Mus musculus: one gene and its partner. The protein of the gene in region 2 interacts with the protein of the main gene of each other region in a biochemical or structural test. Links are inferred from orthologs where the notes say so. Each region holds a gene or a part of one and is shown on either strand. Other genes may lie near its edges.

Evidence for each region.
Region 1: the proteins of Nedd4l (region 2) and Ube2k form a complex in vitro, tested with the Homo sapiens proteins (2 studies listed by BioGRID). The link is inferred for Mus musculus from reciprocal best matches to the Homo sapiens genes NEDD4L and UBE2K.

Annotation. Positions count from the first base shown.
Region 1 is NC_000071.6:65,588,047-65,594,120, reverse strand, and holds part of Ube2k (ubiquitin-conjugating enzyme E2 K), read right to left. Parts: intron 2,246-6,074; coding exon 2,146-2,245; intron 1-2,145. UniProt on the Homo sapiens protein: Accepts ubiquitin from the E1 complex and catalyzes its covalent attachment to other proteins. In vitro, in the presence or in the absence of BRCA1-BARD1 E3 ubiquitin-protein ligase complex, catalyzes the synthesis of 'Lys-48'-linked polyubiquitin chains.
Region 2 is NC_000084.6:65,211,522-65,216,880, forward strand, and holds part of Nedd4l (E3 ubiquitin-protein ligase NEDD4-like), read left to right. Parts: intron 1-1,262; coding exon 1,263-1,365; 3' UTR 1,366-5,359. UniProt on the Homo sapiens protein: E3 ubiquitin-protein ligase that mediates the polyubiquitination of lysine and cysteine residues on target proteins and is thereby implicated in the regulation of various signaling pathways including autophagy, innate immunity or DNA repair.

The sequences.
Region 1 (6,074 bases), on a different chromosome or scaffold from region 2:
ACATCTAATATTAAATAAACATTATAAAAATGTTCTAATAACTGTACAGAAAATTACACAACAAAATCAGTAGCATGTAATGTTACATGAACATTAGCTGATAAATTTAACACTGACTGATATATACAATCAATTGTGCTACTAGGCAGACCTCAAGCTGAGGCAGCAGATGCCCTTAGAGCTATGCAGCACTGTATAGTCATCAAAGTAAACCCAACACTCAAAACAATCTAACTTACATTACTTTTGAAGACAACTTAAAAACCTACAAAAGAGCCCTACTAGATAAAGATTTGCCATATGAAACCGGAAAAGGGTGAGGTAAATTCATTGTAAAAATACTTGTAAGACAGAGTATAAAGTAATGATGTCAATTCATTTCAATATTTATCAAAGTGCTACTTTTAAACTTATGTATGCTTGTGTATATGCACACATGTGGAAGTGCTCAGGAAAGGCAAGCAGAGGACAGTGGGAAGCTGCCCAGTGAGGGTGCTAGGACCTAATCTCTGTTCTCAGAATGATAACAAAGAACTACCCCTCACCTGAGCCACCCAGCTCTCTAGCCCCAGAGCAGGGACTGGGTAATTCATTGTTCCTCTCCCTTCGACATCGCTTTCTCTCAAAAAAGTTCTCAATATGTAGCCCTGGCTAGCCTAGAACCAGCTATCTTTATCTTGTTCATTGTTCAGGCTTGGCTCAAATGTAAAGCTCCACTAACATCTACCTATGGAGTACCAAACTAAAAGGCTACTCCATATTACTATGATTACCTAATATATTTCAAGCAATACTTTGTGAACGAACAACACAAACATTATTTTAGGTGTTAAAAATCAGCTATGGAAGCCAAGAGATGGCTTGGCAACCAGAGGACAGCTGCTACTCCAGGACCAGGGTTCAATTGCCAGCATCCACATGATCCTGTACCTCCAGGATCTGACACCCTCACAGAGACATACATCGAAGCAATGTACATAAAATAAATAATTTTTTTTCAAAAGTCACCCTTTATTTTATGTCTCAATTTATCTCAATTTGTGGGAAAATCAAAGATAAACTTCAAGAAAGACTTCTGCTACCAAATATTAATAGCACATATGTGCAAACTATTAAAAGCTGTAGTTCTAAGCAATGGTGGGCTGTAGAGATGGCTCAGTGGTTAGGAGCACTGACTGCTTTTCTAGAGGTGCTGAGTTCAATTCTCAGCAACCACATGGTGGCTCACAACCATCTGCAATGTGATCTGACGCCCTCTTCTCCAGTGTCTGAAGTCAACTACAGTGTACTCATATACTTTAAATAAATAAATAAATATTATGAAAAAGAAAGAACATTTTAAAAAATTATTTTTATTTGATGTACATTCATGTTTTGCCTACATGTACGTCTGTGTGAAGGTGTCCAGAAACTGAACTTACAGACTGTCATGAGCTAAAATGTGGGTGATAGAGAACTGAACCTGGGTCCTTTGGAAGAGCAGCTAATGCCCATAAGTGCTGAGTCATCTCTTCAGCTAAAGGGAACCCATTTTATAAGCACATTTTTAAAAATCTGAAGGTTGGCTGATAAATGCTTCCTTAAAGAGGAAGCAAGGAAAACAGAACACAATGACATAAACACGACTATAATTTTAAAAACTCTTGAAATCAAAGAATATCACAAAAGAGTTAAGTGTACAAGGAGAACTTAAGTCACACAGAACCTCTGCAATGTACATATCTGGACATAAGTGATAATGGAGTTCCTAACAGGTATTTGTTTATTCTTTATTTGTTATTTGTTTATTATGACATGATTTTATTATTATTTTTAAAGATTTATTTATTTTATATGAGTACACTGCAGTTGTCTTCAGACAGCCCTGAAAAGGGCCTCAGGTCCCATTATAGATGGTTGTGAGCCACCATGTGGTTGCTGGGAATTGAACTCAAGACCTCTGGAAGAGTTCAGAGTTAAGAGCAGTCTTAACCACTGAGCTATCTCTCTAGCCTGTAACATGATTTTATTATATGTGACAAAATTATTTTATTAAAAGAAACCATTTCCAAATTTAGTACAACATAGAATGTTAATATGCTAATATGAAATATTTAAAACTACACACACAGGTCTAAGAAAGTCTTTCAAAAGCTACTTTCTTACCTGATTCGCTACTACTGCATCTTGGGGGTCATCTGGTTCTGCAGCCGCCAACAGCGCTTGCAATGACAATAATACCGTGCGCAGAGTCATTGCTGCTGCCCTAAATTTCAAATTAGGAAAATATCACCGTTAAAAGGACTTTGAATGACATAAGCAAAGTCTGTTTTCTGAATGGAAACAAAAATACGCTAGAACTAAAAATTGTATAGTTAACTAACGTGTACCAATTACCAATTTTCTATTCTTCCAATGAGTCAATTTCTAAGATTATTCAAGTCACCTCACCCTCACCTTGCTGTTTTCTCTGCTTGTTCCATTTACTTACTTTGTAAGCTTTATCTTAATTAACATTCTTCTTAGATATTATGTGTGAGTTTCTGTCTCCATGTATGAATGGTGCTAAATGTCTGGTGCCCATGAAGGTCAAAACTGGAGTTCGAGATGCCTGAGTCACTGTATGGATGCTGGGAACTGAGGTCAAGCACTCTTTAAGAACACAGGCTCGCTCTTTCTTTTTCTTTTTTCTTTTTCTTTTTTTTTCTGAGACAGAGTTTCTCTGTATATCCCTGGCTGTCCTGGAACTCACTCTGTAGACCAGGCTGGCCTCGAACTCAGAAATCCGCCTGCCTTTGCCTCCCAAGTGCTGGGATTAAAGGCGTGCGCCACCAGTGTCCCGCTAGAACACATGCTCTTAACCACTAAGCAAGTTCTCCAACCACTTACCCATATTTCATTATAAAGTGATAATTTAAGTTACCAATACTAATAAACTGGAATTTTAAACAGACTTTTAAATGTCTAAATCATGCCTGCATAAGTGAACTTGAGTACAGGTGCTTGGAGAGGATAAAAGCAGTCCATCCTCTGCTGATGGAGTGGGTACCAAGGACTCCCCTGGGATCACTGCAGAGCAAGCAGCCCATGCCCTCAACCACAGTTAAGTCACTACAACTCTTTAATGGCATGCTAAGTAAAACACGGAGATAAAGATCAATCCATAGTATTCCAAAATAGGACAATTTTCTATTTAAAATATTACACTTGAGGTTGGAGAGATGGCTCACATTATATGCGTGTACTATTCTTGCAAAGGGCCTGTGTTTGCGTCCCAGCCCCCATTGCTGGCTTGCTGGCAAATGACCTAAAACTGCCGCTCCACGGGACTTACTGCTTCTGGCCTCTGGAGGAACCCACATAAACTATATACCCACACCAATACACAGACACAATTAGGAATAAAATTCAATCTCATAATTTAAGTCATGATCCTAATTATATTTATACCAAAAGCCCTTGTCTTTATGAAATAATTATTTGTTTAAAGTTTGCTTCACTAATCCTGAAATGTTTAGAATGTTGACAGGGCAATGATGGCACATGACATCTGGAAGGCAGAGGAACATGGATCTCTGTAAGTTCAAGACCAGCCTGGTCTCCAAAGCTAGTTCCAGGACAGACAGGGCTACACAAAGAAATCCTGTCTCAAGAAAATCTCAGAGCAAACTCTTCTAGAGGAATTTGACTGTCATCCTAAGTGAGGGCCTTGTAAAGTCAAGCACACTACACTATAGCTTTATCTCTAACCACAGTAAGTTCACTTTTTAACCACACAGACGGTTATTCTAAACCAGCCTTGTCTGGTTGAGTTCCTAATTCCTAAAATCAAACAACAAAAATTCCTAGTGACTATTTTCAGTTTCCTTGAATAATACACAAGAGACAACCCTAGATGTTCAGGCAAAAAGAAGAAAGAAAAGAGAAGAGAAGAGAAGAGAAGAGAAGAGAAGAGAAGAGAAGAGAAGAGAAGAGAAGAGAAGAGAAGAGAAGAGAAGAGAAGAGAAGAGAAGAGAAGAGAGAAAAGAAAAGGGAAAGGGAAAGGGAAAGGAAAAGAAAAGAAAAGAAAAGAAAAGAAAAGAAAAGAAAAGAAAAGAAAAGAAAAAAAGGAAGGAAGAAGGGAGGGAGGAGGGCGGGTGAGAGGGGGGGGAGGGAGAGAGAGAGAGAGAGAACACGAAGGAACTCAACTTTCTGGATGCAGCATATGTTAATGCAGTAAATGTCAGTAAATATTCTTCCTCTTACTAGTGGCATGAGTAGGTCTAGGGACTTGGTTTTGGGGACAGAGTCTACTATGTCATCTTAAGACAGATGAAAAACAGGACCCTCCTGTCTCTTCCTCCCAAGTGCAGGAACTTCAGGACTGTATTACTCATGCTCATTTGAGGACCTCACCTAAGACCTGCTCTATAAGAAGTTAGGAGTGGGGCTGGAGAGATGGATCAGTGGTTAAGAGCTCCGACTGCTCTTCCAAAGGTCCCGAGTTCAAATCCCAGCAACCACATGGTGGCTCACAACCATCCGTAATGAGATCTGACTCCCTCTTCTGGTGTGTCTGAAGACAGCTATAGTGTACTTACATATAATAATAAATAAATAAGTCTTTAAAAAAAAAAGTTAGGAGTGTTTGAGCAAATGGGCCAATGAAAATAACCAAAGACAGTATTTGTAGAACCCTGCTCTTTATATGCTAATTGGCAAGAGCTGTTCACACACAATGTAGGTCTATATTTTATATATTAAAATACCCACTATACACTAGTCTCTAAAATGATCTTAGGAAAGTCAGACATGGTAGCAAGCTCTATAATCCTAGCACTTGGGAGATGTAGGCAGGAGGTCTAGTTCACCCTAATATAAAGGAAGGCTCTGTCTAATATAAGGGCAGAGAAGAAAACAATTAGAATGAAAATGTCTAATTGATGAATGTAGTTTTCTAGAGAAGCTAGAGCAATTGTGGATCCTGGCATGATGCTTCCAGAACAGCTGGCACTGCCGGGCACAGTGATATAAACTTTCACACTTAGCACTTGGTAGACACAGAAGACTAGGACTGAGACCTGACTGAGACCTGACCCCTCCCACCAAAGACAGGCGCCAAAGACGGGCGTGGTGGCACACAACTTTAATCCCAGCACTCAGGAGGCAGAGGCAGGCGGATTTCTGAGTTTGAGGCCAGCCTGGTCTACAGAGTGAGTTCCAGGACAGCCAGGGCTACACAGAGAAACCCTGTCTTGAAAAAACAAAAACAAAAACAACAAAAACAAAAAACTAAAAAACAGAGTGGAAAAAATAAAACAATAAGCTCACGCACAGAATCAATATTTAAAACACAGTAAGTGCTTTAAAAAGCTATCTAAGCACAGTTTGGTAGTCCAAGACATTAATGTTCAAGAGCATGGGAGACAGAGGCTATTTTAAACTGGTTTACAGTTTAAAAACCATCTTGCTTAGACAGACTTTGTCTTAAAAGAAAATCTTTTCAAACAGCTACATCGCTTTACATCTTAGCTGACAAAACACAAATTTTCGTCTGGACCTGGATGTTCAATTTCCTAAGATCTTCAAAGTTAATTTTCAACCTAGAGTTATAATATATTTTTAGCACATTCTGAGGACGATGAGATGGTTAAGTAGATTAAAAACACTTGTGAGACAAGCCTGGAGACCCAAGTTCATGCCCAGGCCCGAGATAAAGTTTCAAAGAGAGAACAGATTCCACATTGCTGTCCAGTGACCCTCACACAGGCACCACACCCACATCATATGTACATAAGCTCTTACATAAAACAAGTTGAAATGTATATAACCAAACTTAACCCTTAAATATTTATACCTTTCTTTCCTTAACTACAAAAAAGATGAAAATTCTTTCCTTAGGAAGCATCTACTATAATTTTAATATTTCACAAATTTTAAATAAATAAATACTTCAGTGAATAGGACTACTTAAAAAGAACTGGGCATGGTGCTGTATGCCTTTAATCCCAGTACTGGGAGGCAGAGAGGCAGGTGGATCTCTGTGGGTTCAAGACCAACCTGGTCAACAAAGCCACTCCAGGAGATCCAGGGCTACACAGTGAGACTCTGTCTCA
Region 2 (5,359 bases):
AACCCTCCCATGCTCCTGGGAGCATGTCTCTCCCTTTTGCACTTGAACAGAGTCAGAGAACTTAGATGACGTGCCCAAAGTCACAGATTGAAAAGGCAGGATTTGAATTTGCCCGGTAAACAAATAGCCTTGATTTCTTGCAGAAGGCATCCATCCATATTCAAAGACCTCATTCTTGAAGGGTGCGCTATATCCTCCCCACCCCAGCTGAAGCCTTGTTGTTAAGTAGCTTTTAAAGAATGCAGCGCTCTCTCTCTCTCTCTCTCTCTCTCTCTCTCTCTCTCTCTCTCTCTCTCTCTCTCTCTCTCTCTCCATATATATATGAACCTCACTGGTAGCCAACTGAATAGCAGAGGTGACTCAGTTTTCTGGAGCCCAGAATAGCCTGGGCTCTGTTCTAAGGTCTGCAACACTCCTAGGAATGGGGCCCCATGGAACCTTGGCCTTACCCTCTTGTGTAAGGATCTGCATATATTCATGACTGGGGAAAATATATATGTATATACATGTATATATGTGTATGTATGTATGTATGTGTGTGTATATATATACATATACATATATACACTCACACACACACATATATACATATACACTCACTCATGCTCAGAACACACATAACCTTAGCTGCTTCACACCTACAACAGTTGACTCAGGCATGATGGAGCAGAGATAGTATGAGTAGTAGTCTGTCCATCCTTCATTTCTGAGGTGTGCATGCCTCGTGCTCCATGAGTTTTCTTTATAAAAAAAAAGGGGGGGTGTTTTTTTTTTATTATAACTCTGTGTGTGTGTGTGTGTGTGTGTGTGTGTGTGTGTGTGTGTGTGTGTGGTGTGGTGTGTAGGAAGGGGTGCACATGCTACCAGTGTGGTCAGAAGACAACTCTGCAGTCAATTCTCCCTTTCACCCTCGAGTGGCTTCTGGACATTGAACCAAGACTGCAGGCTTGCCTGCTGGACCATCTTACCGGCCCACATGTTTAGTCTGTATATGTTGGTGCTTGTCTTGTCTTTGAATCTCCCTCCCAGCAGCAGCAAAGGAGTCATGGACAGTTGGAAGATTCCTTTCTTTTCCCTGTTGGTCGTATGGCCTGTTTGGCATAGGCACTGTCATAGCTAGAATTTGGCTTTGGATAATAAAATGCGACTGTCTTCTTAATTCCCTAGCTCAAACAGCCAATGCCTATTAGCCAAAACCAGGGAGTGCTGCTATGGCCAGGAGAATGGCGGCCCCTCACCTCTACTTTCCTTTCCTTTGGCAGCTTTAATCGCCTTGATTTACCTCCATATGAAACCTTTGAAGATTTACGGGAGAAACTTCTCATGGCTGTGGAAAACGCTCAAGGCTTCGAAGGTGTGGATTAAGGAAGGCTCCAGCGTCCGGGGCACTGCCCTTCCAGCAAGTTCCAAGCGCACTTTTGCATTTGCCGAGCAGACTTTTGCAGAGCCGGTGGCAGAAGCAGTGGCCTGGCCCGGCTCTGGAGCCCAGCTTGTCTGGGCCCTGCCCAAGTTCCGCCAGGGAACCCAGCCCCAGCTCAAGTGCCGCCCCCTCACCGCCAATTCTCAACTGGTTGCCGTGTACACTGATTACATTTCAGGAGGACGTGTTCTATTTATGTTGTGCCTCTGCAGGCAAAGCCCTTAATAAATATTTTGCATACTTTCTAATGACAATGAATGGAATTAATCACGCTACAGGTATAGTATTACAACTCATGTTTACTTTTTAAAATGATTTAGACTGATTTTCAGCTTTTATTTCATTACAATTAAAGATGTCTCATGTACTTGGAAAAGTGAGCATATTTTTTTTTGTATTTGAATTTCATATCAAGCTTAATGTCAGTGACATTTTTTTATTTTTGAAGTACTTTGACACTCCCAGCCTCTACTTTATTAGAATTGGAAGACGAATTTTTCTTCAAAAGCCTTCTACAGACAAATACTTTTGAAAGAACTTCAAATATAACATTAAGCATAATATTTTTTCCATACTCAGAATGAAAATAAACTGGATATTACCTTTTTTTTTTTTTTTGTACAAATTTAAATACTAGGTCCAGGCTGGAAGAATTGTAACATAGCATGATATCTTTGTGTTAACTTGAAAGGACTGACCCCATTGTCCCTTAGAAGTACTGACGTGTGCCATCACGCATTTAAGACAGGATTGGACTGTCATCTCGCATCAGAAACCGTTACAATTTCCTGTTGCTGTACAGCCTCTTCTGAACTCTCTTCTCTCTTTGGTGTTCATAGAGACATTTCCAATGGCATTGCTTGATTCAAAACCAAGGAAACCAGAACCATTGATCTTCTATCTCTGTGATTGCTAAGCAGTAGCCAAATAACCTTCCTTTGCTGTATCTGCGTCCCTTCTGAAGGCACTTTATGGAGGTCACATCTGGTTTTGTTTCCATTTTTTTTTTTTTTTTCACGAATATCACTCGTGGCGATTGCTCCTGCCTCCCTGCACAAGTCTATCCGGTGCGGTATCTATCAGGTGTGAACTTGGCTGCTAGCGTATGAACCCAGATGTGACGCAGAGCCTCTGCAGCGATCTTCTCCAACTGTTCTGTAATCTCTACTCAACAATAAGGTTTTAGTTACTGTATACACTTAACCAAGTTGTGTGACCTATGACCTACTTTGCATGCTCTGATACTGTGTGCCGCCCCCACCCCCACCCCCCAGGTCGTGTCTGTTGTGTGCTAGTTTAAAAGTGACCTAGAAAGCCCAGTAGGAACCACAGAGCTCAAGCTGTCTGGCTCAAGTGGTGGAAGAGTGAGGGAGTCTGCAGTTTGTAAGTCTCGTTCTGTTGTGTTCTGAGAAGATGCCTGAGGCAGTATGGGAGTTTCAACACCCCTGCTGTCCCTTTAACTTGTATTGTCCTAGACCCTGTCCTGGAAGTTAGAGGACGTGGGGTATTTTTTTTTTTGATCTCTTGCCAGTTGTGAATAAGACAGAAAGACTGTGTTCTCTGTTACGTAAGAAGGGTCTTTGGTAGAAGAAATTGCTCGTGTTTACACAGCTGTGGATGCCATGAAGAAGCCGTGGACATTCTTGGTGGGTGAAGCCCTAGACGATGGAATCCTACCAAGCTGAACGTCGGCTTCTATCCATATGCTATCGAGTAATTATAGAAGCAATTAACACTCACTGTTCTTGCCTCTGGTGAGATATTTTTCTCCTGTAGTTAACAGATATTGGGTGGGGGGAGGGGAGATACTTTTTTTTTAATAACCTTCCAAGTCCAGAACCATCTCTGTTATAGAGTGTGCCAAAGCCTGAGCTAAGCAGTGTATTTTAATCGAAGAAGAAACCAAAATCTGTTCTAAGAACTGGGGTTCTATACCTCTGTAGGCCCTTTATTGAACAGCATTATTCACTAGATGCAAAGGGAGCCAGCAAGATGGCTCAGTGAGTCTGGGTGCTTGTCACCTAGCCTGACATTCTGAGTTCAATCCCTGGGACCCGCCTGATAGGAGAGAACTGACTTCTACAAGTTGTCCTCTGACCCAATAGATTTACAAACAAACAAACAAAAGATTAAAAATAAGAAAAGAGGACTTAATTCTGATCTTTTCTAAGCCAAGAGCAGAAAAGACTTCTTAAATCCACTCCAGGGAATACTTGAAAGGCAAGTCATTGTGACTAACACTTCAGTTCATTGGCCCATGATCATTTCAGATTTTAACAGCTGTTACTGTTATTGGAGATCGGAGAGTTGGCCTGTTAGAAATTAAAAAATACAGTACAGCTTGCCGTTCCTCTGGTTTGTGAAGTTTCACTCGTTGCCTAAAATGCCCGATGCCTCGTCTCCAGACCTTGCTGCCCTTGCCTGGTCATCTTTGTACAGTAATTGTAAATGGCAGTGGAGACTATGGTGTTCCTGAGGGGCAATGGCAGGTCACTCTCCCGATCTCCCTACTACCAGCCAGGTGCTGTTTCCTTCTGAGCTGTGGAGATCACACCATCCTGTCGCCCTGCAAATAATTGTGGATCATTTACCTTGAGGCTGCAGAGTGGGTTCCAGGACTCTTACTTCACTGTGGAGGGACTTCGAGCATCAGGTGGCTCTCTCATGTTCCTGCCCCCTTTACTCCATGCCAAACCTGGGATTAGACAGCCTGCTGGCTCCAGAAAAAAGGTCTTGGTAGGCATTAGTCTATCCTAGGTGCCCCCAGTGCACTGTCCTTGTCTGTCTGAAGCACCCATCTCTACCTTCCCTGGCCAGTCCTCTGACGGTTCACAAGGGCCAGAGATATGGACTTTATTTTTGTTCCCAGGACTGATGTAGCTTAGTGGCAAGTGTCTCCCTGGCATGTACTTAGCTGTAGATTTGATCCTCATTGCTGGGACTGGGGACGGGGTGGATTAGAAACAAAAATTCTGTTTCTGAGGACTTTTAGCAAGAGACAGAAAATCCTGCCATTCTGGTTGGAAATTATATAAACCAACATGACAATAACTGTTTCCCCCCAAAAGGCTCAGGAGCTGACTTTTAGAAGTGAGGTTCAAAGTCTTTAACCACTTCTGAATCTCATATGGCCTGTTGCTCTTGGTCTTGCTAGACTCCCGTTTGTTCTAAGAGTCAGGCTTATGTATAGCAGCTTCTAGCTGGTTCTCTATTATCCTGGTAATATTGTTTCTCAGCTCTGAAATTTGAAAGTCTACGAAGAAAGCCTGGGTTCATCAGCTGCCCAGCCCCACCTCTCCACTGAGCGCTCTCTCTCTCTCCATCTCCCTCTCTCCCTCTTTCCCTCTCTCCCTCTCTTCCTCCCTCCCTCTCTCCCTCTCCCCCTCAACAGAAGGAAGGCTATCTGTTGTCATTCTCTTCCTGGCCAGTAGGAGTGCTGCTGTGCAGGGTCACTGCCTGCCCTGCTCCCTCTCTGGCTCCCAGAAGATCACATGCTACCTCTGTCTCATTTACAAATTGGGGTATATCCTAAGTCATGTCAAACTGCCGATTTCAGGACTGGGATGTGTTTTAAAAAAAAAAAAGAAAAAACAAAAACAAAAAACTTAAACTCCACTTTGTACCTTAGATTTTAAAACTGGGTAGAAATGTAATATACATTGGACCACTTTTTTAAGCCTTAATGAACAGTGTATATACATCTGTGTATGCACACTCCACCCCAGAGTGTTTTCAGTGTGCCAGAGAAGCAGCTGTAGCGTTAGGACATGAGCCTGTCTAGTGTTTCCTAGGAAAGGGATAGTTTTCTGTTGGTATAGCATTTTCTAAGGAAACTACTCACTCAGCGCCTACCCTTTGTTAGAAGTGTTGACGCTCCAAGCACGCGTGTGAAGCACCATGTATCTTGGCCGGTTTCATATTTGTAAGAAGCACCGGTAG